6 linked regions of the Cricetulus griseus genome follow. The protein of the gene in region 1 interacts with the protein of each later gene in a biochemical or structural test. Links are inferred from orthologs where the notes say so. Each region holds a gene or a part of one and is shown in the gene's direction. Other genes may lie near its edges.

Evidence for each region.
Region 2: the proteins of Pdzk1 (region 1) and Cftr form a complex in vitro, tested with the Homo sapiens proteins (2 studies listed by BioGRID and IntAct, with this or other methods). The link is inferred for Cricetulus griseus from reciprocal best matches to the Homo sapiens genes PDZK1 and CFTR.
Region 3: the proteins of Pdzk1 (region 1) and Cysltr2 interact in a test that uses a peptide from one of them, tested with the Homo sapiens proteins (2 studies listed by IntAct, with this or other methods). The link is inferred for Cricetulus griseus from reciprocal best matches to the Homo sapiens genes PDZK1 and CYSLTR2.
Region 4: the proteins of Pdzk1 (region 1) and Rps6ka1 interact in a test that uses a peptide from one of them, tested with the Homo sapiens proteins (2 studies listed by BioGRID and IntAct). The link is inferred for Cricetulus griseus from reciprocal best matches to the Homo sapiens genes PDZK1 and RPS6KA1.
Region 5: the proteins of Pdzk1 (region 1) and Slc22a12 form a complex in vitro, tested with the Homo sapiens proteins (2 studies listed by BioGRID and IntAct, with this or other methods). The link is inferred for Cricetulus griseus from reciprocal best matches to the Homo sapiens genes PDZK1 and SLC22A12.
Region 6: the proteins of Pdzk1 (region 1) and corticotropin-releasing factor receptor 1 form a complex in vitro, tested with the Homo sapiens proteins (2 studies listed by BioGRID and IntAct, with this or other methods). The link is inferred for Cricetulus griseus from reciprocal best matches to the Homo sapiens genes PDZK1 and CRHR1.

Annotation. Positions count from the first base shown.
Region 1 is NW_023276806.1:59,644,402-59,648,647, reverse strand, and holds the start of Pdzk1 (Na(+)/H(+) exchange regulatory cofactor NHE-RF3), read left to right. Parts: upstream 1-1,446; coding exon 1,447-1,656; intron 1,657-2,736; coding exon 2,737-2,986; intron 2,987-4,246. UniProt on the Homo sapiens protein: A scaffold protein that connects plasma membrane proteins and regulatory components, regulating their surface expression in epithelial cells apical domains.
Region 2 is NW_023276806.1:208,423,448-208,427,530, reverse strand, and holds the start of Cftr (cystic fibrosis transmembrane conductance regulator), read left to right. Parts: upstream 1-1,283; coding exon 1,284-1,626; intron 1,627-1,721; coding exon 1,722-1,830; intron 1,831-4,083. UniProt on the Homo sapiens protein: Epithelial ion channel that plays an important role in the regulation of epithelial ion and water transport and fluid homeostasis. Mediates the transport of chloride ions across the cell membrane.
Region 3 is NW_023276807.1:227,520,588-227,524,087, reverse strand, and holds part of Cysltr2 (cysteinyl leukotriene receptor 2), read left to right. Parts: intron 1-542; 5' UTR 543-687; intron 688-2,819; 5' UTR 2,820-2,863; coding exon 2,864-3,500. UniProt on the Homo sapiens protein: Receptor for cysteinyl leukotrienes. The response is mediated via a G-protein that activates a phosphatidylinositol-calcium second messenger system.
Region 4 is NC_048595.1:19,428,253-19,431,364, forward strand, and holds the end of Rps6ka1 (ribosomal protein S6 kinase alpha-1), read left to right. Parts: intron 1-1,246; coding exon 1,247-1,384; intron 1,385-1,709; coding exon 1,710-1,832; 3' UTR 1,833-2,612; downstream 2,613-3,112. UniProt on the Homo sapiens protein: Serine/threonine-protein kinase that acts downstream of ERK (MAPK1/ERK2 and MAPK3/ERK1) signaling and mediates mitogenic and stress-induced activation of the transcription factors CREB1, ETV1/ER81 and NR4A1/NUR77, regulates translation through RPS6 and EIF4B phosphorylation, and mediates cellular proliferation, survival, and differentiation by modulating mTOR signaling and repressing pro-apoptotic function of BAD and DAPK1.
Region 5 is NC_048596.1:52,814,972-52,818,962, forward strand, and holds the end of Slc22a12 (solute carrier family 22 member 12), read left to right. Parts: intron 1-721; coding exon 722-845; intron 846-993; coding exon 994-1,109; intron 1,110-1,633; coding exon 1,634-1,848; intron 1,849-2,289; coding exon 2,290-2,398; intron 2,399-2,618; coding exon 2,619-2,822; intron 2,823-3,427; coding exon 3,428-3,491; downstream 3,492-3,991. UniProt on the Homo sapiens protein: Electroneutral antiporter that translocates urate across the apical membrane of proximal tubular cells in exchange for monovalent organic or inorganic anions. Involved in renal reabsorption of urate and helps maintaining blood levels of uric acid.
Region 6 is NC_048600.1:117,186,997-117,191,190, forward strand, and holds the start of corticotropin-releasing factor receptor 1, read left to right. Parts: upstream 1-1,394; coding exon 1,395-1,418; intron 1,419-1,512; coding exon 1,513-1,600; intron 1,601-4,194.

The DNA of each region.
Region 1 (4,246 bases):
CTCTAGTGGCCCAACAGGAGGGGCAGGAAGGGAGGGGACAGAAGAGGCCTTGGGAGGGAGAGCCCTTAACCTGCCACTCGAGTCTTTTCTTGGGCATCCTTACTTTACTCTGACTAGAAACTTCTGGATCAGTTATGGCCATTTTCCTTCTTCCTATCTCACTTATTATTTCAGTTTCATATGTAGATGTTATGTATTTTGATCATATCTCCTGGTTACCCTCTAGTCCTCTTCTGCTGAACCCCTACTTTCCAAACCCCTTTTCACTTATTTTTGTTGTATGCTCCACTGCATTTACCTAGTTTGCTTGCACAAGCCAGGGGTGCCCCTGTCTTTTCATTGCATTACCAATACACGAGCTAGCTCTGAGGGCTAGCTTTGTCCCTCCCTCCCTCCCTCCCTCCTTCCCTCCCTCCAGTTGTTCGAAGCCTGCCTTGCCCTGTCCTGCCTCACCTGACTCCACTAGCCCTGTACTTCTTGGAAAGTCATTTCTCCAGGGAGCTAGTCTTATTTCTCCCCAGCCCATCCCTTCTTTCCAAAGACCTCATTGTGTCATCCTATGTCTCCCAGTTCTTCCACAGCACGGCATATCACATTTTGTTTTAAAAATGTAATTATGAAAAAGATATCTTCCTAGTGATTAGCTCCTCTTATTCTCAGGTTTATCCTCAACATCTAGAATCAGAAAGGCTCATCAGATATTTGAGTGAAAGTGTGCTTCTTGGAGGTGGGTACAGCCAGAGCACATGTGTGAGAATGTCTCAATGAAACTCCTGGGGGCCAGGAAGACAGTATTTACTGTGCAAGCTTGGAGGACAGGAGTTTGGATCCCCATAAACCCTGTAAAAGGCTGGAGATAGTGGTGTGTGTCTGCAGTCCTCATGCTGGAGAGGCAGAGATGGAGGACTGCTGGACCTGCTTGCCAGCTACTTTATCAGATCTGTGAATTTGAGATCTCTATGAGAGAATCTGTCTCATTAATAAGATGGTGAAGGATTGAGAAACACACCTGACACCACCTCTGATTTCCACACACACACACACACACACACCCACACACCCACACACCCACACACCCACACACCCACACACCCACACACCCACACACCCACACACCCACACACCCACACACACACACCACCACCACCACCATCACCACCAATAATAAAAACCCAGCACATGCACAAACGAAGCCTATTATTTTGCATGGTAATTAAAAGAAGATAGATATGGCGTCTTAAACTTTCTGGACCATGTGTTTTTAGACATAACCTCTTAGGACAAGGAACAAGGATGAATTTGGTTGGAGCTACTGAAGTTAAAGCATCTGTGTTAAGTACTCATTTGAACACGAGGGTTTGAAAAGCAAGTATGGAGACTCAGGGTTTCAACGTCCAACTAGATTTCCTTGCCTGTGGATTTATCCATTTGTTTTTCATCACAGAAATGGCCTCCACCTTCAATCCCAGAGAGTGTAAATTGTCCAAACAAGAGGGGCAGAACTATGGCTTCTTCCTGCGCATTGAGAAGGACACTGATGGCCACCTGGTCCGGGTGATTGAGAAGGGGAGTCCAGCGGAGAAGGCAGGACTCCTGGATGGGGACAGAGTTCTCAGGATCAATGGTGTCTTTGTCGACAAGGAAGAGCATGCACAGGTGAATAGACACTTGGGTTCTTCCAGCCACCTCTTCAGCCTCCACATCTCTGCCCACTCTGATTTTGGGGATCAGTGGAGCTTGGTTCTCTTCTGGCTACCACTGGCAAGGTTCTATCACATTTTATGGTGACTAGTCTAATTGCTTATGATTAACTGAGAACTGTAAAACCTATTATGTGACTCAGTGGGCAAAGGTGCTTATTACCAAGCCTGATGAGCTGAGTTCAATCCCTGGGACCTGCATGTTGGAAGGAGAGAACTGATTTCCACAAGTGTCCTTGTTCATGAGCCATGGCCTATGCCCTGTTATAAAAGCAATCAATTAAAAAATGCTATACTGTGGTAGTGTCAGGTCAAACGTTCATTGCCCATTTGCCCACGCTAGACAATTTTATCTGAGTAAGCTGTAGCCCTCAGCACAAGCCTGTGAGGCATGTGTGACCGCACAGATGAGGCAGCCATGTGTAGGTGACTTAGCTTGTTAACTGTCATGTGGTGACCGCATGGGAGAGGTAGGCCTTGCCTCACTTCAGCATTGTTCCCCTTTCACTACACCACGCCACCACCCCCTAGACCTGAGAAGCCCTGTTGTCCTCTCTCAAGCTCCTTAACGCTGCGACCCTTTAACACAGTTTCTCGTGTTGTGGTGACCCATACCATAAAATTATTTTTGTTGCTACTTCATAGCTGTAATTTTGCTACTGTATGAATTGTAAATATTTGATATGCAGGGTATCTGACACATGAGCTCTATGAAAAAACTGGGTCGTTCAATCCACCAAGGGGTCATGACCCATAGGTTGAGGACCACGGCTCTAGCGCATTCGTATCTGGGAAAGACCAATCCTTGTCAGGGCTTTCTGGATTCCCACAGTGCTGGGGCCCAGTCTGATCCTCCCTGATATATTGGGAGTGTTGGGGTGAAGGTGTCCAGTACCCCTCTGCTTAGGGTATGGGTGTTGGGTCAGCTGCCAGGCACATGACAAACATCTTCCTCCTACGGTTGATGGGGGCGGGGTGGTGTGGGGGGGAGGTTAACAGGACAAGGTATCCTTTAAACACTCCCCTTTCTTCAAAGGTGGTGGATCTGGTGAGAAAGAGTGGGAATTCAGTGACTCTGCTGGTTCTGGATGGAAAATCCTATGAGAAGGCTGTAAGAAAACAGGTAGACTTGAACAACTTGGGTCAAAGCCAGAAGGAACCGGCTTCAAATGATAAGAAACCAAGCCCTTTGATGAACGGAGCTGTGGAGACGTGCGCCCAGCCACGGCTCTGCTACCTGGTGAAGGAGGGCAACAGCTTCGGCTTCTCTCTGAAAACCATCCAAGGTGAGCTTAGGGTGGGCTGAGCTCTAGCCTTCCAGAAGCCCTGTGTTGGTAACGACAGTCTTTGCAGTTGCTATGAATGTCCACAGCAATGTCACTCTCTCTTCCTTTGTCTTCAGCACGGATCCTTTCTCTGCAGTTGTACAAAGAGAGATCCAACTTTGGACAGCAGCGAGGGCTGAGTGGGGGGACTCTTTCCCTAGTGTTTGTCAGGCTGCTGTTTGAGGCCAGTGGTTCAAGGACGGATGCCTCTTCATTGTTTTGTTTGACTTGTTTTTTCTTTCTTTTTTAATTTCTTAATTTATGTTTTACATTCCAATCCCAGTTTCCCCTCCCACCTGTCCTCCTGTTCCCTCCACTTCCCCCACACCACCTCCCATCTGCACCTCGGAGAAGGGTAAGGCCTCCCCTAGGAAGTCTACTGAGATTGTTCATCATCTCGTTGAGGGAGGATCCAGGCACCTCCCCCAACCTCTGTGTCTAGGTTGAGCAAGGTACCTCTCCATATAGAATGGGCCTCACTAAGTTATTTTGTACATTAGAGTTAGATCTTGGCCCCACTGCCAGTGGCCTCATTTATTGCCCCAGCTGCACCATTGTCACCTATGTTAAGGGAGTCTAGTTCGGTCTTATGCAGCTTCCCCATTTGTCAGACCAGAGATTGTGATCTTTCGCTAGCTCGGGTCAGCTGATTCTGTGGGTTTCCCCACCATGGTCTTGACTCCTTTGTTCATATTATCACTCTTCCCTCACTTTCATTGTACTCCAGGAGCTTGGCCCAATGGTTAGTTGTGGATTTCTGTATCTGTTTCCATCTGTATCTGTAGAAGAAGGTTCTAGCTTCTCTGGGGTTGTGGGTTGTAGGCTGGTTATCTTTATGTCTGGTATCTGTTTATGAGTATGTAAATACTATATCTGTATTTCTGGGTCTGGGTTACCTCACTCAGGGTTTTTTTTCTAGTTCTGTCCATTTGCCTGCAAATTTTAGGATGCCATTGTTTCTTATCCTGAGTAATACTCCATTGTATAAATGTACATTTTCTTTATCCATTCTTCAGTTGAGGGGCAACTAGGTTGTTTCCAAGTTCTGGCTATTATGAATAATGTTACTGTGAACAAAGTTGTGTAAATGTCCTTGTGGTGTGAGTGTGCTTCCTTTGGGTATATGCCCAAAAGTGGTATTGCAGGGTCTTGAGGAAGGTTGATTCCTAATTTCCTGAGAAATCTCCATACTGATTTCCATAGTGGCTATACAAGTTTGCA
Region 2 (4,083 bases), about 150 Mb from region 1:
GACAGAAATGGAGTGGATCCAGAGAGAAGGGCATGTGGAGAGAAAGTAGGAGTAGTAGATGGAGGGAAAACAGTAATCAGGATATAATGTCTGGGGGTAAAAAAAAAAAAAAAAAACTATTTTCTTGTCTTTTTTTGTTTTGTTTTTGTTTTTGTTTGTTTGGTTTTGGGTTTCTTGAGCCATGATTGTCCTGGAACTTGCTCTGAGACCAGGCTGACCTCGAACTCAGAGATCAGTGCCGCCACTGCTTGGCTAAAAAGAAAATTCTATTTTTAATAAAAGGAAAAATAATTCAAACTCTATTTTACTTGCTTTGGCTAAATAGGGTTCAGGTATTTAAGTGTTGGCCCTTTAAAACCCACCACATTTTCATGTTGGACACAAAATTCTCACACCAAAAGCTTGGAAGGGGAAGGCACATAGCCTGGAAAACTCTCAAAGCCCCCAGAGAGCTAAAGACATAGGCATTTCTCTCAGTGAGCTCTTGGTGAATAGGATACCTTTGCTTCAGTGACTTTGGGTTCCTGTCAGATATTTTGCTTAGCAGACAAGGAAATCTAAAGGACAGTCATTTAGTTTAGACAGTCCACTTGTCATTTCTGTAGCACACACACATAAAAGCCTTCAGAAACACAAAACACTACAACACACACTGAACACATCCTGAGTGGGAAATAGGTAAAGCAATAGCTCCCTTTGTCCTCAAGGACTTTGTCTATAATTATGGCACATCGGAGGCATTGTGATACATGTGTCTGACACACATGCCTCCTAGGGGAAGCAGTTGCTCCCCATTCCTTGGTAGGGCTTTTGCTGTAATTATGACATATCAAGGAATTGTGACATATGCCTATGACATTCATGTACCTCATAGATGTCTGTGACTCTATGGCTACCCTAGAGACTTCAGTCAACAGAGCTAGGTCTTGTCCAGCTCTTGAAGGGCTTGCTGAGGTGGGACACCTCGGACTACTGTGGGACTTTGCACCTTTCTGCATCTGTACTTTGATTCCGAGGAGCCACGTTTTCATCTCCTCTTCAAAATGAATCTTGAAAAGTTAACTGTAACTCGGCCAAAAGCTACAGAGACAGGAGGAAGAGGGAGAGAAGGAAAAGGAGGAAAAAGAGGAGAAGATGAAGGTAGCAGAGGAGGGGGAAGAGAAGAAGGAAAAAGAGAAGAAAAAGAAAGAGATAAAGGAGGAAGAGAAGAAAGAGATGGAGGAGAAAGTGAAGAAGGAGGAGAGAGAGAAATAGAAGACTGGGAAGAGGGAGAAGAAAGGCTCATGGAAGCCAAGGAGGTCAGTCAGTGGTCCTTGGTCACACATAAGAAGCATATTAGCTCCCGCAGATTGGCCTTGGTTTCCCCGGACCTGGTGCCTGAGCCGTCACTGATATTGCTGCTGCCAGAAGGTAGGGATGTGGGGGGGGCGCTGGAGGGCGCGGGGAGTGAGCGCCAGGAGAAGGAGGCGCGGGCGGCATGCAAGGCGCGCAGGAGGAAGGAGCGCACGGGGCGGGCTTGGGGCGTGGAGAGCAGGGACTGGGGCTGGGCTAGGCAGTGCTGGCTTTTAACCTGGGCTACGGAGGCGGGGGAGGAAGGCAGAGAGAAGGGGAGGCGTGTGGGACCCAGTTGGTTAGGGGGGAATTGGAAGCAAATGACATCACCGCAGGTCCGACAAAAGGGGAATCGCTAAAAACATTGACTGGGTCCTGGATATTCAGAGGTCGAGTCCAACCTGAACGTGTCCAGACACAGACCTCAGTGCACCACGGAGACATCATGCAGAAGTCGCCTTTGGAGAAAGCCAGCTTTATCTCCAAACTCTTTTTCAGGTGAGAGGGTGCCAGGGGATCTTTGCAGGTGTGCCCATGCCAAAGAAGGGAATGCATATGGGCAGTCTTTGGGAAAACAGGAAGAGATTTTTTTGTTGTTTTCGTTTTGTTTTTAAAGGTGTGTTGTCATTCATTGTTTTAAAGGAAATGTGGATTTTATAGAATAAATTGAAGCTGATTAGATGGAGAACAAAATGTACTTGCAACTGAGAATCAGACTTGCAACACCTAAATATTTGCAGGGCAACAGTTTTCTTAATTTTTTTTCCTGAAAAATTTGTAAGATTTTCTTAATTAAAAATCCTTAAGGTTGGTTCATTGTTTTTCCCCAGGAAGCTTGTCTGCAGGTGTCATACCTGTATGTAGTAGGTGTTCAGAAAACATTTGCTGACTGAATTTTTTTGAGGAAGTATATAGTACTTTTTGCTATTGTAATATTAAGTCTGACATGCTCACCAAAAAGTAATGTAACCATAGTTACATTACTTTTTAAGAATGTGAGCAAGTCAGTTAAAATATTTATCTTTAAGCAGCAGAAATATCAAAAGCAAAGAATTTAGGAAAGCAGTAACCATGGGATATGAAGCTGGGGTTCTAGCTACTGAAGCTATATCCAACTGACACTTGGGACATTGTTCTCTTATCCTGCATTGCACAGCATGAGCCAAAACCTCAATAGAAAAGGATTTTAAAATTAGATTTTAAGTTGGGAGACCTAGGCAAGACTAATTAAGCACTTTGTATTTGACATGCTCTATGGCGCGGCTATTCTGTTCCTCTAGTGTGGATGAACGAAAAGAACAGCTCTCTCATGGGAGCTCACTTGACTCACAGCTCCTCAGGGAATCTAAACTTTAGCAAACTAAAGGACCAGAGTGTTGCATAGATTGTAAATGTGCCCTGTGGTGTGGGCAGGAGGCAAAGCTCAGCTTTCAGTCTTCTTGCCTTTGCCGCCGCCGGTGGGTCTAGAGCTCAGGACTAAGAGGACAAGTGCCTCTGTGGGAGAGCTCCTCCCAGTGGATGGGAGACAAGGTCTTTACCCTTTGGAGTTACCTTTGGTATTCACAGTGCTTTTGTTACTTCATCCATAAATTCAGCTTATCAGCCGGGATCTATTTTCCTACTACTCACAGCAACAGAGTGTTAATTGTCATAAACTGCACACTTTTATGAGATCATTTTGAGGAACCTACATGTCAGTGCCTCACGTTCTCATGAGAATGTCTCTTGTGTATTTTCCCCACTAAAGTATTAAGAAACTTAGATTGTTCATTTATCAGTGTTTCAAAAATCTCCCCTCTTATTATACAGCTCATTTATTTTAGTGTACCTTCCAAATGCTCTTAGGTTGATTTGGAAAGGAAAAATATTATAATGGCTGTGAAATTTGTTAAGCACATACTCATTTCTGTCCTTCAAACGATTTCATAATCAGTTGCTTTAAGAATAGGTGTGTTTTTAAGAGTTAAGTTCTTACTATTTATAGGCTCTGACATTCAGCTACAGTACCAGTCAGTGATTAGAAACTTCTTTCTGAACTATCCTTTTCAAAGATGAAAACCCTTTTTTTCCCATTGGACTAGGCATTTCTGCCTAGTGTCGAGGACAGTGGGCTCTGGGTTCCTATTGCCTGGTTTCAGGATTGCTTAATGGGCAAGTCCTTTCACATTTCTGTGTGACCTGACTTTTAAAACTTAGAGGCTGTCAATGTGCATATGACATAGTGGGTTAATCTGCTGAGTAGTTATGTCCTGGGCTTACTGAGGAAATGCTAGCTGCTATGGTTATTTTCTACATTTTATGTAAGACAATGAGTTTATTTCTGTTGGTTATAATTTTTGACTATCAACCTTTTTTTATGTGATGTGTATGTGTATTATATATTTGAGAAATTAATGTAAGGGATAGTCTCATCTAATATGGACTTACTAGATATTTAGGGGAAATCCATATGCTCAGATCTCCATAGATGCCTTAGAGTTTGAGTTTCTGAGTACTATCCCATCAGTTTTAGGGTATAAAAGACTAAAAAAACCTGAAGGCCATGTTTCCAATATTAGGGTCTGGGTTATGAATTATATTAAGTATCAGTTTAATTATCTAGGTTATATCACTAAAACCAAAACAAGCTTAATAAAAATATATTTTTGCAAGTGTTTACAGGAAGGAAAAGTTTGGAAGTCATTGGAAGTATTCTAACACAGAAGACAATTTTACCATGAAAATTTCAAGTATTTTGTGACTTTCACGGAA
Region 3 (3,500 bases), on another chromosome or scaffold:
ATAAACATGCTTCTATCAATTTTTTTAGTATTTAATTTTAATTATCTATTCTCAGAGGATTTTATTAACATATACAATGTATTTTGATCATATTTCCTCCACACTCCTCCCCAGCTCCTCCCAGAAGCCCCTCATCTCCCTCTCAAGTTCATATCTTTTTTTTTCTTTACAGCCCATTAAGTCCAGTTAGTGCTGTCTGCACAGGCATGCAAGGCCATCCACTGGAAATGGGCAACTTAGAGGAGCCTAAGAAAAAAACTGAGTCCCTCTTCCTCCAGCTCATCAACTGCCAATAACTCTTGGCTAGGGGATGGGGCCTTGTAATCTCTTTCTCCACTTTTTAAAACCCAAACAAAAGTGTAACCCTTGGAATATATTTTTATTGACATATTTTACTTAAACATAGTCAACTTTTATTTTTATTTATCAGCTTTTTATGACTAAGCCGAATAGACAAAAGGATGCTCATATTAGTTTGAAGTTCATTAAAATTCAAAGGATATTTAGAAATCTGACTAACCACATTGTCTTTCTTGTCCTAGGATGAAGGAGACCATCTGTTAGAGGCCACCTGTAGCAACCTGAAGACACTTTGAGCTCCAAAAGACATATGATGGCCTTCTTATTCTAGTTTTTGGGCCTGGATTTGGGAAAGTAAGGGTCGAGTAGTTGTTCAAGAGACAAGATGTAAGTCCTACCTATCTAAAGTCAAGAAATAATTATTGCCAACATTGTACAACCACAATTAACAATAGTTGCTAGGAGCTTAACTTTGATTTTTGGGAAAGCAAGGGATCTTTCTGAAAACAACTTAAAAGGATGTTAAAGAAGACAAAAATAACTTTTATTGACAAAAATTACTCATGGGTATAAAAATAAGAATTATTTTACATAAAGACCCAAATTCTAACTTTACTTGTTCTGTACATTGTTTATATAATGATCTACAGCAGATCTTTTAATAATATGCCTTTATGTTTATATATCTAGATGGGTACATATATTCAAATAGCTGGTATTTTTAAAATGTTTGGCACACATATACTACCCTACCAGCCACCTGAGCTAGAGAGATGCTAACCTCATCATTACTCAGAGAAGCTTCTCTTTGCATTAAAAGCAGGGATCCATGGCTATTTGAGCTGCTGACACTATGTGACAACTGAGCACTTAGCCCCAAATAGGATATTGGAGCATTGGCCTGAAGCTCAGAGGGGAGCTAGGGAGTGGAGAGAACACAGGGGATGGGGCAATGTGAGAGTAGGAAGAGAGGGGGAAGGGCTACAAATGACTGTCTTCTAGGTATGACAAAACCACTGGAAACTCCAGCTCACAGTAGCTATGAATGGGTGCATGGGGCCTATATGAGACTGGGTTTGTCAATAGCCAGCCACAGATTCTACAGAGTCTTATAGCCCTACTTCTCTCTGCCAAACAACTGGCTACTGATGGATTTTAGAGGTGAGGTAGCCTGTTGTCTTCAGTTGTGAAGCCACCAGGTTTTGATGGATTGTTTCAAGCCAGTGGTCACACAAAGATCCTGGTTAAAATCATTGGTTCCCAAAGGAGAAGACAAGACTTGGCTGTAGGTAGGGCAATTGTGGGGGCAATGTGTATGTTCTGTGGGGACTTGAGAAGACAGCATGTGCTGCTCGTGTGGAATGAACTGTTGTGTTGATGCCAGTTCCATGTTGGTGTAGATGCTTTTAGTTTCTTGGTGGTTTTGTTTGTGTGTGTTTGCCTATTTACTCTCTATCGGTGCCTGTGGGGTTGTCTTCAGGTCACTAATATAACTGTGGATTTGCCGCCCAATTCTGTCAGTTCTGCTTCACTTATCATAGCTCTGTTGCTTGGTACATCCCATTAGAACTCGGGGGTCTTCATAGTAGAGAAGTTATTTTATCAGTAGAGAATATTCCTTTATTTTATGTTTTCTGGTAATTTTCTTTGCTCTTAAATCTAGAGCCATTTCTAATTTGGTTTGATTTGAGTAACTTACCTTTGTTTCCTTTTTCTCTGTACCTGTCAATATTGCTATCTGAGGTGAGTTTCTTGAGAGCAGTATCTAGATAGGTCTTTCGTTTAGACCATTGATATTTAGTGTATATTCAATATATTGGGGTTATAAATCCCTGATTTTTCTGTTTATATTACTTGTTTTCTTTTCACTGCCTTCATATTGGTTACCTGATACCTGAACTCTTTAAAAATTTTATTTTAATTTATCTTTAATGTTTTAGGATATATCTTTGTATAGTTTTTTTTAGTTTATGCTATTACATCATGCAAATACTCTTATCACAATCTCTCAGCACAGTTTGTCAGTTCAAATTGGGTATACAATATTAACCCCCTTCATATATCTTTATTTCCCCTCATGCAGATACACTAGTCAATTACTCTTCTACATTTACTTAAAGCCATATCAGACAGTATTACAGTTTTCGTTTCAAGGATCAAGTATAACTTGAATTTGAAAATGGGATGGGAAGATGCTGTTCTTGCATTCTTTTGCTCATTATTCTCTTTCCTTTTTTTCTAATATTCTAAGGCTGCTTTTTCATATATCACCTCCTGCTTGGGAACTTTATTTGTCTATTCTTTTAAAAAATTATGTTTTTATTTTATGGCATGGATGTTTTGCATGATGGTAGGTCCACCATGAGTATGCCTGATGCCTGTAGAGGTCAGAAGAGGGTGTCAGAGGAACTTGCTTCTCTCCAAGTGAGAATGAATGCTGCAAACGTTCAATCAATGATCAAAAAAAAGTGGCATTGAACAAAGTAATTTTTGTGTTTATTTCTTCTAATCCAATATAGAGAGAAAACTTATGTCTTAGCCTCTGTCCAACTCCATATCAGAAATGGAACCAACTGGGGCCTTCAGCAATAATAGTGACAGGAACTGTACAATAGAAAGCTTCAAGAAAGAATTTTATCCCATCATATATCTGATCATATTTGTCTGGGGAGCCTTGGGAAATGGCTTTTCCATATATGTCTTCCTACAGACTTACAAGAAGTCCACCTCTGTGAATGTTTTCATGCTCAACCTCGCCATTTCAGATTTCCTGTTCATAAGCACCCTGCCCTTCAGGGCGGACTATTATTTCAGAGAGTCCAATTGGATATTTGGGGATCTAGCCTGCAGAATCATGTCTTATTCCTTATATGTCAACATGTACACTAGCATTTATTTTTTAACTGTGCTGAGTGTTGTGCGTTTCCTGGCCACTGTCCACCCTTTTCAACAGCTCCATGTCACCAGCGTCAGGAGTGCCTGGATCCTCTGTGGGGTCATATGGATTTTTATCATGGCTTCCTCAGCGATGCTTCTGAAGAATGGCTATGAGAAGAAGGACAACATTATATTGTGCCTGGAGCTGACTCCCCAAAAGTTTAGTAAGCTACTGATCATGAACCACATTGCATTAGTGGCAGGCTTCCTGCTTCCATTTGTCACACTCACCATCTGCTACCTCCTGATCATCCGGGTCTTGT
Region 4 (3,112 bases), on another chromosome or scaffold:
ATACTCAGGCTGGTGAGTAGAAGAGCTGAGTTTAGGATTTTTATTTGTTTGAGGGTCTGTAACTTTCAGAGTTTGGTTTGGTTTGTTTGGTCTCACTGCATAGTCTAGGCTATCCTACAACTAGGTCTGTGGGCCAGGCTGGCATTAAACTCATCCAGATATGGCCTCTGCCTCCCCACTACTGGGATTAAAGTTGTGCACCACCACCCCCAGCCTTATTTTTATTTTTAATTATATGTGTGTGGGAATGTGCATGTGAGTGAGTCCAGGTGCCCACAGAGGCCAGAAGGCACAGGGCCACCTGGAGCTGGGTTTGCATCTGTTGTGAGCCTCCTACCAAGTGCTGGGAACTGAACTCCAGGCCTCGGGGAGAGTGGTGAGCACTGAGCTTGACTTTTACATTGAAGATGGTCTTTCCCAGCCCTTGCTGGCCCTCAAGCCTACGTAGCCGAGGCTGCTATTGAACTCTTGGTCCCCCTGGTTCTGTCTCCCAGGTGCTGGGATTAAAATACCTGGCATGTTTTTTTCATGGATTTTTCTCTTAGTTTTTGTTCTACATCACACTGGAGATGGAACTCAGCGCCTGGTGGGTGCCAGGCAAGCGCCCAACCGCTCGGCTACATTTCACCCCAGGAAGAGTCAAATTTGAACCTGTGTATGGTGATATCTTGATGGCTCAAATAAAACGTGTCTGAAAATCAGAGGGTGGAACTTGCCACTAGCTAACCATTGAGGTCTGGACTTCACACAGACAGACAGGAAGTGAGATGGCTGGGCAGAGAAAGGAATATAAGTGGGAGGAAACAGGAACTCTCTTTTCCCCTGGGAAGTGAGTGAGGTAGAGGTGGCTCTGGCTTGCTCCTCCTCCTGTCTGATTTCTCAGTATTTTCCTCTATATCTGACTCCAGGCTTTTATTATGACCTATTAGAACTCATGCTACACCTGTGTCTCTTTGACCTACAAGTCTTTAGCCACCTTTTCATGTGGCTTTTCTGAAAGGGAAAGAAGAGAAAGATGTCCTCCAAAATGCCTGCAGCAGCAAAGATGGAAGGAAGACCCTGGACGGTTAGGGGAAGGCTTTGTTGTATGCAGAATGGATCTCAGGGAATTTTAGAGGGGCCCAGGCCAGAGGTGGCTGGACGCGATTGTCTCCCGGTCGTTGGCCATCAGTGAGGCACTCGGTGGGGCGAAGCTGCCGGCCCCCTCAGTGCCCACCCGTCACCTCCTTGCCCACTGTGTCTCCAGGACTTGGTATCTAAGATGCTCCATGTGGACCCCCACCAGCGCCTCACAGCCAAGCAGGTCCTGCAGCACCCATGGATCACCCAGAAAGACAAGCTTCCCCAGAGCCAGTTGTCCCACCAAGACCTGCAGCTTGTGAAGGTGGCCATGCGTACGGGGGCTGCTCAAAGTGAGGGGTGGGGTGGGCCTCAGACCAGGGGGTTGTGGCAGAAACTTGAAGTGGCAGAGCCAAGCAGTTCTATGGGCCCAAAACCAGGAGATGTGGCAAAAGGCATAGCCCTGCCCCCAAGGAATCCCAGACTCACATGCAACAGTGTCATTATATTCTTGTGTCCCAGGGAAAACCAGTGGCCATGAGGCACCACCAAGGCTAGGAACAGTGGGCTAGGTGGGCCAGACCCTGGGGTGCATGTGTTTTGTCTGTCCACCCCTCCCTCACGGTTTGCTGTCCTGCCCTCTTTCCCAGGGAGCCATGGCAGCTACGTACTCTGCACTCAATAGCTCCAAACCCACCCCCCAGCTGAAGCCAATCGAGTCATCTATCCTCGCCCAGCGGCGGGTGAGGAAGCTGCCGTCCACCACCCTGTGAGCCACAGTGCAGACAAACTCCTTGGAGGCAGAGTCCTTCCCAGAGAGAGCAGACCTGGGTCACAGGACCAAGTGAAGTGGAGTCTGAAAGGGCCCGGGAAGTAGCCAGCCCAGATCACCCAAGAGAGGGTGTGAAGTGCCTTCTTCCCCAGGATGGACTCTTCTGGGCTCGGGCTCCGTGTGAGAAGTCCATTCACTGTACAAACTCTTTTTTAGGGGGAAAAGAATGGCATCTTCTACCATGGATTTTTACAAGATCCATTTGCCTTTCTAACCATTGCAGTCCCAGGAGGAGCACCGAGTCACATGGAGACTGTGTGGCCAAGGTTCCCTTGGTCAGCTTTGGGGCCCTCCCCTAAGCACTGCCCCCTCTATTGGCTGTGGAGCCATCTACACACGCCTCCAAACAGCCCAGTGTCACCTCTCAGTCACCCACTGGCTATTCCGCAGAGCTTGGCCCCAGCTGGCTCCTCTCCTTCTATTCTGGGGTTCTAGAACCACTTTCTGCTACAGCCAAGGACGCCGCCCTGTCAGCTCTTGGCTCCAGGCACCAGCATCCACATTGCCCATCCACAATGGGCCCCTGCAGTCGGATCGGACAGCCCCGTGGAGAGGAGGCAGAGAGCACTTTTCGGCAGACTTCCTGCCTGCCACTGGACAGAGTTCACAGGACACCGGGGAGTGGGCCACGGGGGACGAGGGCTTTTTCATTTCCTCCTCAGCTGGTAACTCAGGGTTCATCTGTCCAAGGCCTTTCTAATAAACTTACAATCCAGTCAGAGCGTGTGCTCTTACTCTCTATGTGGCTTGGGGACTTTGGCAGTGACAGGAAATAGGCTAGGGAAAATTTAGCCACCTGCTTGGAGCACAGGTCATTTGGGGAGCATGTGAGAGTCCCTCTGGTTCTGTTTGTATGCTCCTGTCAGAGGATCCCACCACAGTAGGGATAAACAGTAATGACACTAGCAACCATTGACAAATGCTGGCCCTAAGGTGTGTATTCTTCCCTTAGTGGCGAGAGGCCAGCCCCAGGGCCTTATACACTCAAGACAAGCACTTTGCCACTGTCCTCCCTCCTACCTGTACTCTCTGGTCCTAGGAATTAAACTCGGCCCCTCACTGTGCTCTGTCCCTAAAATACACCCGTCTCACTTAATCTTAACCCTGTCAGGCTGCAGGGTGGTGGTGACGCACACCTTTAGTCCCAGCACTCGGGAGGCAGAGGCAGAAGGATCTGTCAGTTTAAGACCAGCCTGGTCTACAGAGTGAGTTCTAGGACAG
Region 5 (3,991 bases), on another chromosome or scaffold:
GAGCATGGAGGCGAGCACTGTGTTTGGTGAGGGAGAGGGCGACCTGTGTTTGATGCCGAGACAGTGAGAAGCAAGTTGGTATTGAGCAGCCATATCCTGACTCAGAATTGGCTGAGACAGGGCCAGGAGAAGTCAGGTACAATGGGGTCAAAGGGCCCAGGGATCAGTGGCTAACAGAGGGGCTGACAGGAGGGGCTTGGTGATGTTGGAGACACTGGGCAGGGAGTGGTGAAGCTGTTTGAGCAGGAAGGCAATACAGCTGGGGGAGGAGGCAGGAGGGAATGTGTGTGACGTGGAAAGATGCCGTGATGGTGAGGCACCCTGGTAGCCTTGTAATTCTGTAACCACTGGAGTCCTTATTGCATCCAGGCCTGGTTCACGGGTGAGGCTGAGGAGGGGCCATGGGACAAAATGGTAGGAAGGGCAACAGAGTCCCTCCCAATCCAGCAGCCTTCTCAGGGGCTACAGAACAGGAGGTCCCCAAACTCACAGAGGAAGGAGACAGGGAGGCCACCAGCTTTCTGGTACAGGTAGTGATCTAGGTGGCCTGGCTATACATGCCACAGCTACCACATTGTCCTTTACAGCCTCCATTGACCTCAGCTACTCTGAGACTGAAGCTTACCATTCCACTGAAGCCACCCCCTTAGACAGAGGACAGGGAGGGTTATACAATGGGGGTTCACAATCAGCAGCCCCCTCACCCACCCATCCACTTCAGGTGGCTTCCAGAATCAGCACGCTGGCTTCTCACAGTGGGCAAGGTGGACCAAGGCCTGAAGGAACTACAGAGGGTAGCTGCTATCAACAGGAAGAAGGCAGAGGGAGACACATTGACCATGGAAGTAAGGCAGAGCTGGGCCTTCCCTCAACTCTGTCCCCTATCCCTCAGATCTTCCCCCTTGGAGGTCAAGTGAGGGCCCTGGCTCTTGAAGGAGGGCTCCTAAAGGAGGGCCTGTGGGTAACAGGTGCTAACAGCCCCCACTCCCACAGGTCTTGCGGTCAGCCATGGAGGAGGAACTAAGTGGGAACCAAGCTCATGCCGGTGTGGGCACCCTACTCCATACACCTGGGCTGCGCCTCCGAACCGTCATCTCCATGCTGTGCTGGTAGATGCCCTTCTACCCAGGCTACCAACTGTAGGAAAGTCTGAAGTTAGGCCAGGGATGGGGCCACTAGCTAGAGGTATCTCTAGGATGACCTTTATCTCAGGGACCTTGCTATCTATAGTCAGGCTCCCAGATGAGACAAGCAAGGCTGAGTGGGCTGGTGAGCAAGGATTATAGGCCTGAACACCCAGAGGAGATTGAGTGAGTAAGATAAGTATGATGGCGATGCTGGAAAAGCTGGAGAGGTGAATCAGACACGAAGCAGACAGGCAGGCTGCTCCATCTCATTTAGAGGCACCAGGCATAGATGGGCTATTGCTCCAACTTGGAAGCCTAGGCCACCCAGCAAAGATCAAATCCACAAAGACTGTAGGGAGGGACTGTTCAGTAGAATCTAGAGCCAATGAGACAGCACCCTAAACGGAGTGCCGAGCTGAAAGAGAAGTGCCTAAAGTGGGCCTGGGAAAGGCCCACAGGGCAGGCAGAAGAACAGCCACCCCAGGCTGATTCACCCATTCTCCCAGGTTTTCCTTTGGCTTCACCTTCTATGGCCTGGCCCTCAACCTGCATGCCCTAGGAAGCAATATCTTCCTGCTCCAAGCGCTCATCGGGGTTGTGGACTTCCCAGTGAAGGTAGTCAGCCTGCTGCTGCTCAAATACCTGGGCCGACGTCTCTGCCAGGCCAGCTCCCTGGTGCTGTCAGGACTCTGCATCCTGGCCAACATACTGGTGCCCCACGGTGAGCTGCAGCTAGGCTTCGGGTGAGCCAGAGGAGGCAAAAATGTGGTGTGGGAGCTGAGGTGCTTCTCCCCTGGGCTGGGGAGTGTAGAACTAAGATAGAGAGTGAGGGACCACAACAGAGGACACTTAGGAAAGAGGCTGTTGGGGGTGTGGAGGAGAATGGCCAGGAATAGAGCAGTGATAGGATGGTAGGATTTTAGGGGAGATCAGGAAAGCCATTATGCTAACACAGAACTCAGTAATAGATTAGGTTGGGAGAGAAAGGGAGGCAAGGAAGACTCCTGGGGTAAGGCTCTAAAGGGCTGGAAGGTGGGTAGATTGGGGACACAGTGTGGACACTGGAGGGATGATTCAGACATTTGACAGACCAGCCTATAGGACAGGAGCAGCGCAGGGAATATAGGATGCCAGCCTCTGCTGATGCTGTCACTGTTCACAGAGATAGAGGTTCTTCGTTCATCCCTGGCTGTGATGGGGCTGGGGTCACTGGGGGCTGCCTTCACCTGTGCCACCATCTTCAGCAGTGAACTCTTCCCCACTGTGCTCAGGTGAGGCTGTCATGGGCTCAAGGAGAGAGTACTGTAGCTAGAGGGGAAAGCTGCCCCCAGATCCCCATGGGTTTCCCTTCCACATGGTCTCAGGGCTTTCGAATTAAGCCTCCACCCTGCCTGGTCCACTGGGCATCCCTGGCCTAGGGAGTTGGGCCAGACCAGAGGTCAAGGTCCAAGGCAGACAGAGTTTGACTGACAGGCAAATGTGCCTCCACAGGATGACAGCAGTGGGCCTGTGCCAGATAGCAACCAGAGGGGGAGCCATCATAGGGCCTCTGGTGCCATTGCTAGGCATCTATGGCTCCTGGCTGCCCCTGCTGGTGTATGGAGTGGTGTCTGTGCTAAGTGGCCTGGCTGCACTGCTGCTACCTGAGACCAGGAACTTGCCACTGCCTGACACCATTCAAGACATCCAGAAACAGTGAGTGGACCAGCCTGCAAACCCCCTCTCCCTCCCTCCCTTCCCTTCTCCCTCCCTCCCTCCCTCCTTCCCTCTCTCTCTCCTTCCCTCCCTCCCTCCCATAGAAGCCCCAAAACAGGGTGGCTTAGGAACTGACTCCTCTCACTGAACAAAGGGAAAAGCAAAAGCCAGGGAAGGCCCAGGATAGCCCAGAGTTACACAGCATACTGGGAGAGTGGAGACCCAGATGAACAGGCAAATTCTAACCCTCTTCCCTTCATCCCACCATGTGGAGGAATGAGTAACCCAGCCATTGACAGGTCTACCTTGAAAGAGGCAGGGAGAGAGGTCGGAGGAGAGACAGAGTGCTTGTGAGCAAGCTGGCCTTTGTCGGGGAGAGGTCCTGGGGTGTGGTGGGTGTTGCTGGGGTCTTCACAGGCAGGAGACCCCGCCACTAAAGCCATCAGGTGGTTGACAAGGTTATCAACACCCATCCCATCTTGATATGCTCAGTGATCTCAGACTTGAGCCCCAGGCAGGATGTTCAGTTCTCAGCATGGACATGGGTCAAGGATCAGGGGTCACTCTATTCCTTAGAGTCACACTTCTCTGTTTTTCCTGAACAGATCAGTGAAGAAGGTGACAGGTGACACAGCAGGCCAGTCCATCCTGATTTCTACACGGCTGTAGCCTCCTGGAGAGTCTATGATAAGACTGGAGAAGAAGGGCCATGATGGAGGAGGAGAAGAAAGAGAGGGAGAGAGAAGGGGAAGGGTAGAGCTGGCAATGGCGGGTAAAGGCGCCTGCCTCCAAGCCTGATCATACGAATTCCAGTCCTGAAACCCACATGATGGAAGGAGAGAACTGACTCCACAAAGCCGTCCCCAGACCTCCACATGGACACAAGTCCCCCCCCCATGACACACACAAATAAATAATTTATAAAAGAGACAGAGAGAGAGAGAGAGAGAGAGAGAGAGAGAGACAGAGAGAGAGAGAGGGAGGGAGGGAGGGAGAGAGAGAGAGAAAAGGAGAATGAAAAGGAGAAAGGAAAAAGGAATAGAAGGAGAAGGAAAGAGGGAGAGGGAATAGGAGGAGGAGGAAGAGAGAATAGGAGGAGGAAGAGAGAATAGGAGGAGGAGGAAGAGAGAGCAGGAAGAAGGGGAGGAGGAAGAAGAGGAGGGGATGAG
Region 6 (4,194 bases), on another chromosome or scaffold:
TTGAGTTTCATACTTGTGTCAGTAAGAGTCCTGGGGTGAGATGGAGGGAGGGTGCCTGAGGTGGGGGAATGGATGAAAGCCCACTAAGGACTTAAGGGTATAGTGTGGCTCTGTAAGTCACCAGGATTAGGGATGGCTCTTATGGGAGTGGGTCCAGGCTGTGGTCAGGAATACAAATGCATGGTGGGAAAGAAGGCAGAAGAGCCTGCCTTTGTCATCAATATATGACAGAAGGGGAAGTGAGTACTGGTGAGGCTGGGGGGACTGGCCCCTGAAGGGAGCCAGACAGATGGACAGATAGACAGATGGGGACACATGCACACACACACACACACACACACACACAGAGAGAGAGAGAGAGAGAGAGAGAGAGAGAGACTGACTTAGCCCATCCACAGTCAAATTAAAACTAGGGCTCCATTTGCTTCTCAAGCTGGATGTGGTGGTCCTTATTGATAATCCTCTTGATCCTAGGACCCCTAAAGAGGGAACAGGAGAGCAGAGTGGGGTGACTATGTGGAGAACACTCCCAGGGTTGCCATCCTACCTGGGGATTCTTCTCACGGTGGTTAGGTCCCCAGTGGAGAAAAGACAGCCTGTCGTAGTTCCCCTCTCCCACCCCACATGCTTCTGGACCCCATTTGCAGAATGAATCCCAACAGACGAGGCCCCAGCCCATCTCCACCTCCCTAGTTAGGTCAGCTAACAACTACTGAGTATGTAAATCCTCATTGAGCGCCCATTGTGTACCCAAAAACATCATTCATTAGCCTCATTGCCAGAATGAATACAGTGTAAGCACAGACACAGGGGAGGCCTGCACTTGCTTTAGAGCAAGGACACTGAGGCCCGGAGAGGTCACATGGCCCACTCATCCAGACTCCCACCTGTAGAGAGGATAGTAACCCAAGAAAGTGCTCATCATTGTTGGGGTGGGGCTGTTCATTCAAGAAGGGATCGTCTTCCGGTCATAGGACTCATGGCTGAAACCCTGGAGTCAGAGTAACACTGGGCCCTCAGTAGGGTTAAAGGCCTTCCCTGGAATAGGTGACCCATCTTCCCAGACACAATCATTTCTTTAGCGCCTCAGTTTCCCCATCTTCAGTAGCCATATCCATGCTGTCCCCGGGGTGAATTAAGCCATTGTAGATATCGCAGGACATCGGAAGAGCTTGAAACATGAGGCTCAATTTGCAATGACTGGTAGTCATTGACAGGGATGAAGGCTCAGGAGGAGCTCATAACCACGGGCCTGAAATACCACAGAGGTAAGGAAGGTGGAGGGTTGTGTGCAAATGTGTGTGCATGCACTTGGAGCGACCGCGTTAGACATGTTTGGGGTCTGTGCCTCCATTCCAGGCCCTGCGTGAACCAGGCAATTTCAAACATTCTGGATGGGACCAGGAGACTGGGCAAGGGTAGGATGCTGGGCAGAGGAGGGGGGGCAAGAATCATCAGCTCAGACTGATGAGTACCCCCCTAACAGTGTCCTGTACCCCCTTGTGTCCACAGGCCCTTCTCCTCCTGGGGCTGAACCCTGTCTCCACCTCCCTGCAAGACCAGCGCTGTGAGAGCCTGTCCCTGGCCAGCAATGTCTCTGGTGAGTCATCCCTGCCCCTTAGCTCCCAGGTTCCCACAGGATCTCCTTCCCTAGAGCTCTGAGCAGCGACCTGTATAGAAAAATCTCTGGAACTGGAGTCAGTGAGGGTAAAGGGGCCTGTAGTTATCCAGGAGCCTCGTCTGTGGGCACAGGAAACACACTCAGCAAAGGTGCCTTGTGGTCACCATCCCAGGGGGCAACAGGGGAAAGCCCTCCAGGCCTCACTGCTGAGGATATTGGCAAAAGGTCCAAGGCTGCTGCTGTTGCTAAATATGCTGGAGAGTAAGGCTACATGCTGCTAGCACCAGGGATTTGAGATCCTGTCACCCATCTGACTCCAAAGGCAACTGAGGCACAGACAAGCACTAAGTGCTAGAGCCTGGGTTGCAAAGGCAGTCTGGCTCCCTGGTGATGCTCAATACCTGCCCAATAGAAAATTCTAGGTAAGGGGCTGGAGAGATAACACAGTGGTTAAGAGCACTGCGCGTTCTTCTAGAGGACCCGGGTTCAGTTCCCAATACTGGTACTCACAGGAAGATGATGCCCTGGACTTCTTTGGGCTTTGCTTTGCCCAAATTGAGGGAGGGGGATCCTGAGGTTAAATGCACTGAGTTTTGCAGGTTTGTTTCATAAGCTGTAACATCCAGACAGCTACTGGGTATAATCATGGGTAGCTTTTTCAAAGTACTTACTGTGCACCTAGGAGAAAGAGAAAGTACACCCTACGATTGCTTGCTTACTACAACGGAGGGTGTCAGGGAGGCTAGGATAGGGGTAGGGCAAATCCCAGAAGCCTTCCTGAAGGAGGGGTTTTTAAGTGAGCCTAGAGATAGAGCAGTCAGTGATTGAACACCAGTGGCTAAGTTGGCAGAAGGACTCACCAAGGTGAAGAAGGCCCTGGCCGTCCCAGCATTGGACTACCCACTGGCTGGGTTGAGCAGGGAGTGCGTTGCTCTCAGCCTATCAGCAGTGGCAGCCAAGGACAGGCAGGGAGGATGCCTGGAGGAAAGGTCCCCGTCCCTCCTCTCCACCCCAGGCCAGGTCAGGCTCCATTAACTTGCTCCTATTCAAGAGAAGTGACACCCTGGAGCCACACAGGTGTCACCTGTCCTTGGAGGCAGCAGGCTGTGAGGGATGATGTTCATTCTTCCGTGATTTGTGCTGGATGCCCCACCCCCTCCCAGCCTGCCTGGCTCCATAGGATGCAATCCATCACCTTCCACAGTGGCCTCCGCTCTGGCCATTTGTCATCTGATGGGCATTGGCAGAGACAGATGGTGAGAGTGGGGTGGAGGGCCCGGGACAGATGGATGGGCGTCTGGCCCGAGTGGCTGGCACTGTGCTGAAACCTTTGGGGGCCTTGCACATGCCTCATGCCAGAAGTAAGGAGGGGCTAGGTTCCCATGGCCAAGGCCCCCATCATGTGACAGATTATAGACTTGGCAACTTATAAAATCATGGCATGAGTATGACTGTGCCAGAAAGTAATAGAATTACTGACTAGTAACACCCCAGATAAGTGGAGTCAGGGCTCAGGAGGACGTGGGGTCACTAGTTCCCATCGCTGTTCTTAAGGCGGTAACGATGAACAACAAACCGTAATAATAACAGCTGATTCGTGTGGATGTCCACTTCATGTTGGGCACAATTCTAGGTGCTCAGCCTCATCCGGTCATCACAATAGATTCAGCAAGGATTTTGGTTCCCGCTTTAGAGAAAAGGAACCTTACACTCAGAAAGGTTGAGTAACTTGGACTGAGCACACACAGTTGCCAAGCACTGGCCACAGGGGTTGAGCCAACTGAGCCTGATTTCAGATTTAATACATTATGTGGTCACTTAAGAGATCTGTCATATCCAGGGCCCAATGTTACTTGGAGACACAGTGTCACTTGGAGGTGCAGTGTCAGCCCTGCAGTTTTCCCTGAGCACACTAAACTTGTATATGGCCCTATGGTTTCTTCAGCACCTACTATGTGCCTGGACTTCTACAAGGTATTGAGTGCAAACATCAGGAGTGGTCAGAGCACAAGGCAGGAAGCCTCACAGGCTTCTACCTCTCTCTTCGTGTGGCCCACACTCTACAGAGACACCTTTCTTCACCCTGCTAAAGAGGCAGCTTAACCCGAGGTGCCAAGACTGCCTGCCTGCCCCGTGCCTCTGTCTGTGCCGTGTCACCCAAACAGAGCAACTGCCCTTTCATCCCAGAGCACTCTCCTCCTAGCAGGAGTACCCATCTTTGAGGTTGCCCTAGAGCACCTTCCTGCTCCCCAGGAAGCCTCGGAGGAGTGTCCCCAGTCTCAAATCAGATAGGTAGATCAGATCTTCCTACCTGAAAGGGGGCTGCCAAGTGCTCACACCCTCTGTGGTTCACTCAGAAGCGTGTGATGGAAGACCACTCCTAACTGGGACAGGAGCATGGTTCTAGTTTCCTTCCAGCATTACCTACAGCACGAGGGCCCTCTGCGCACATTAGGGCACTAAGCTTGATAGGGAGGGAATTGTGTGGCCAACTTGACAGAAGAAACCAGTGCCCAACTGTGCACAAGCAGAAACTGGGCCACCCTTCAAAGGGCCCTTATCTGTTATCTGCG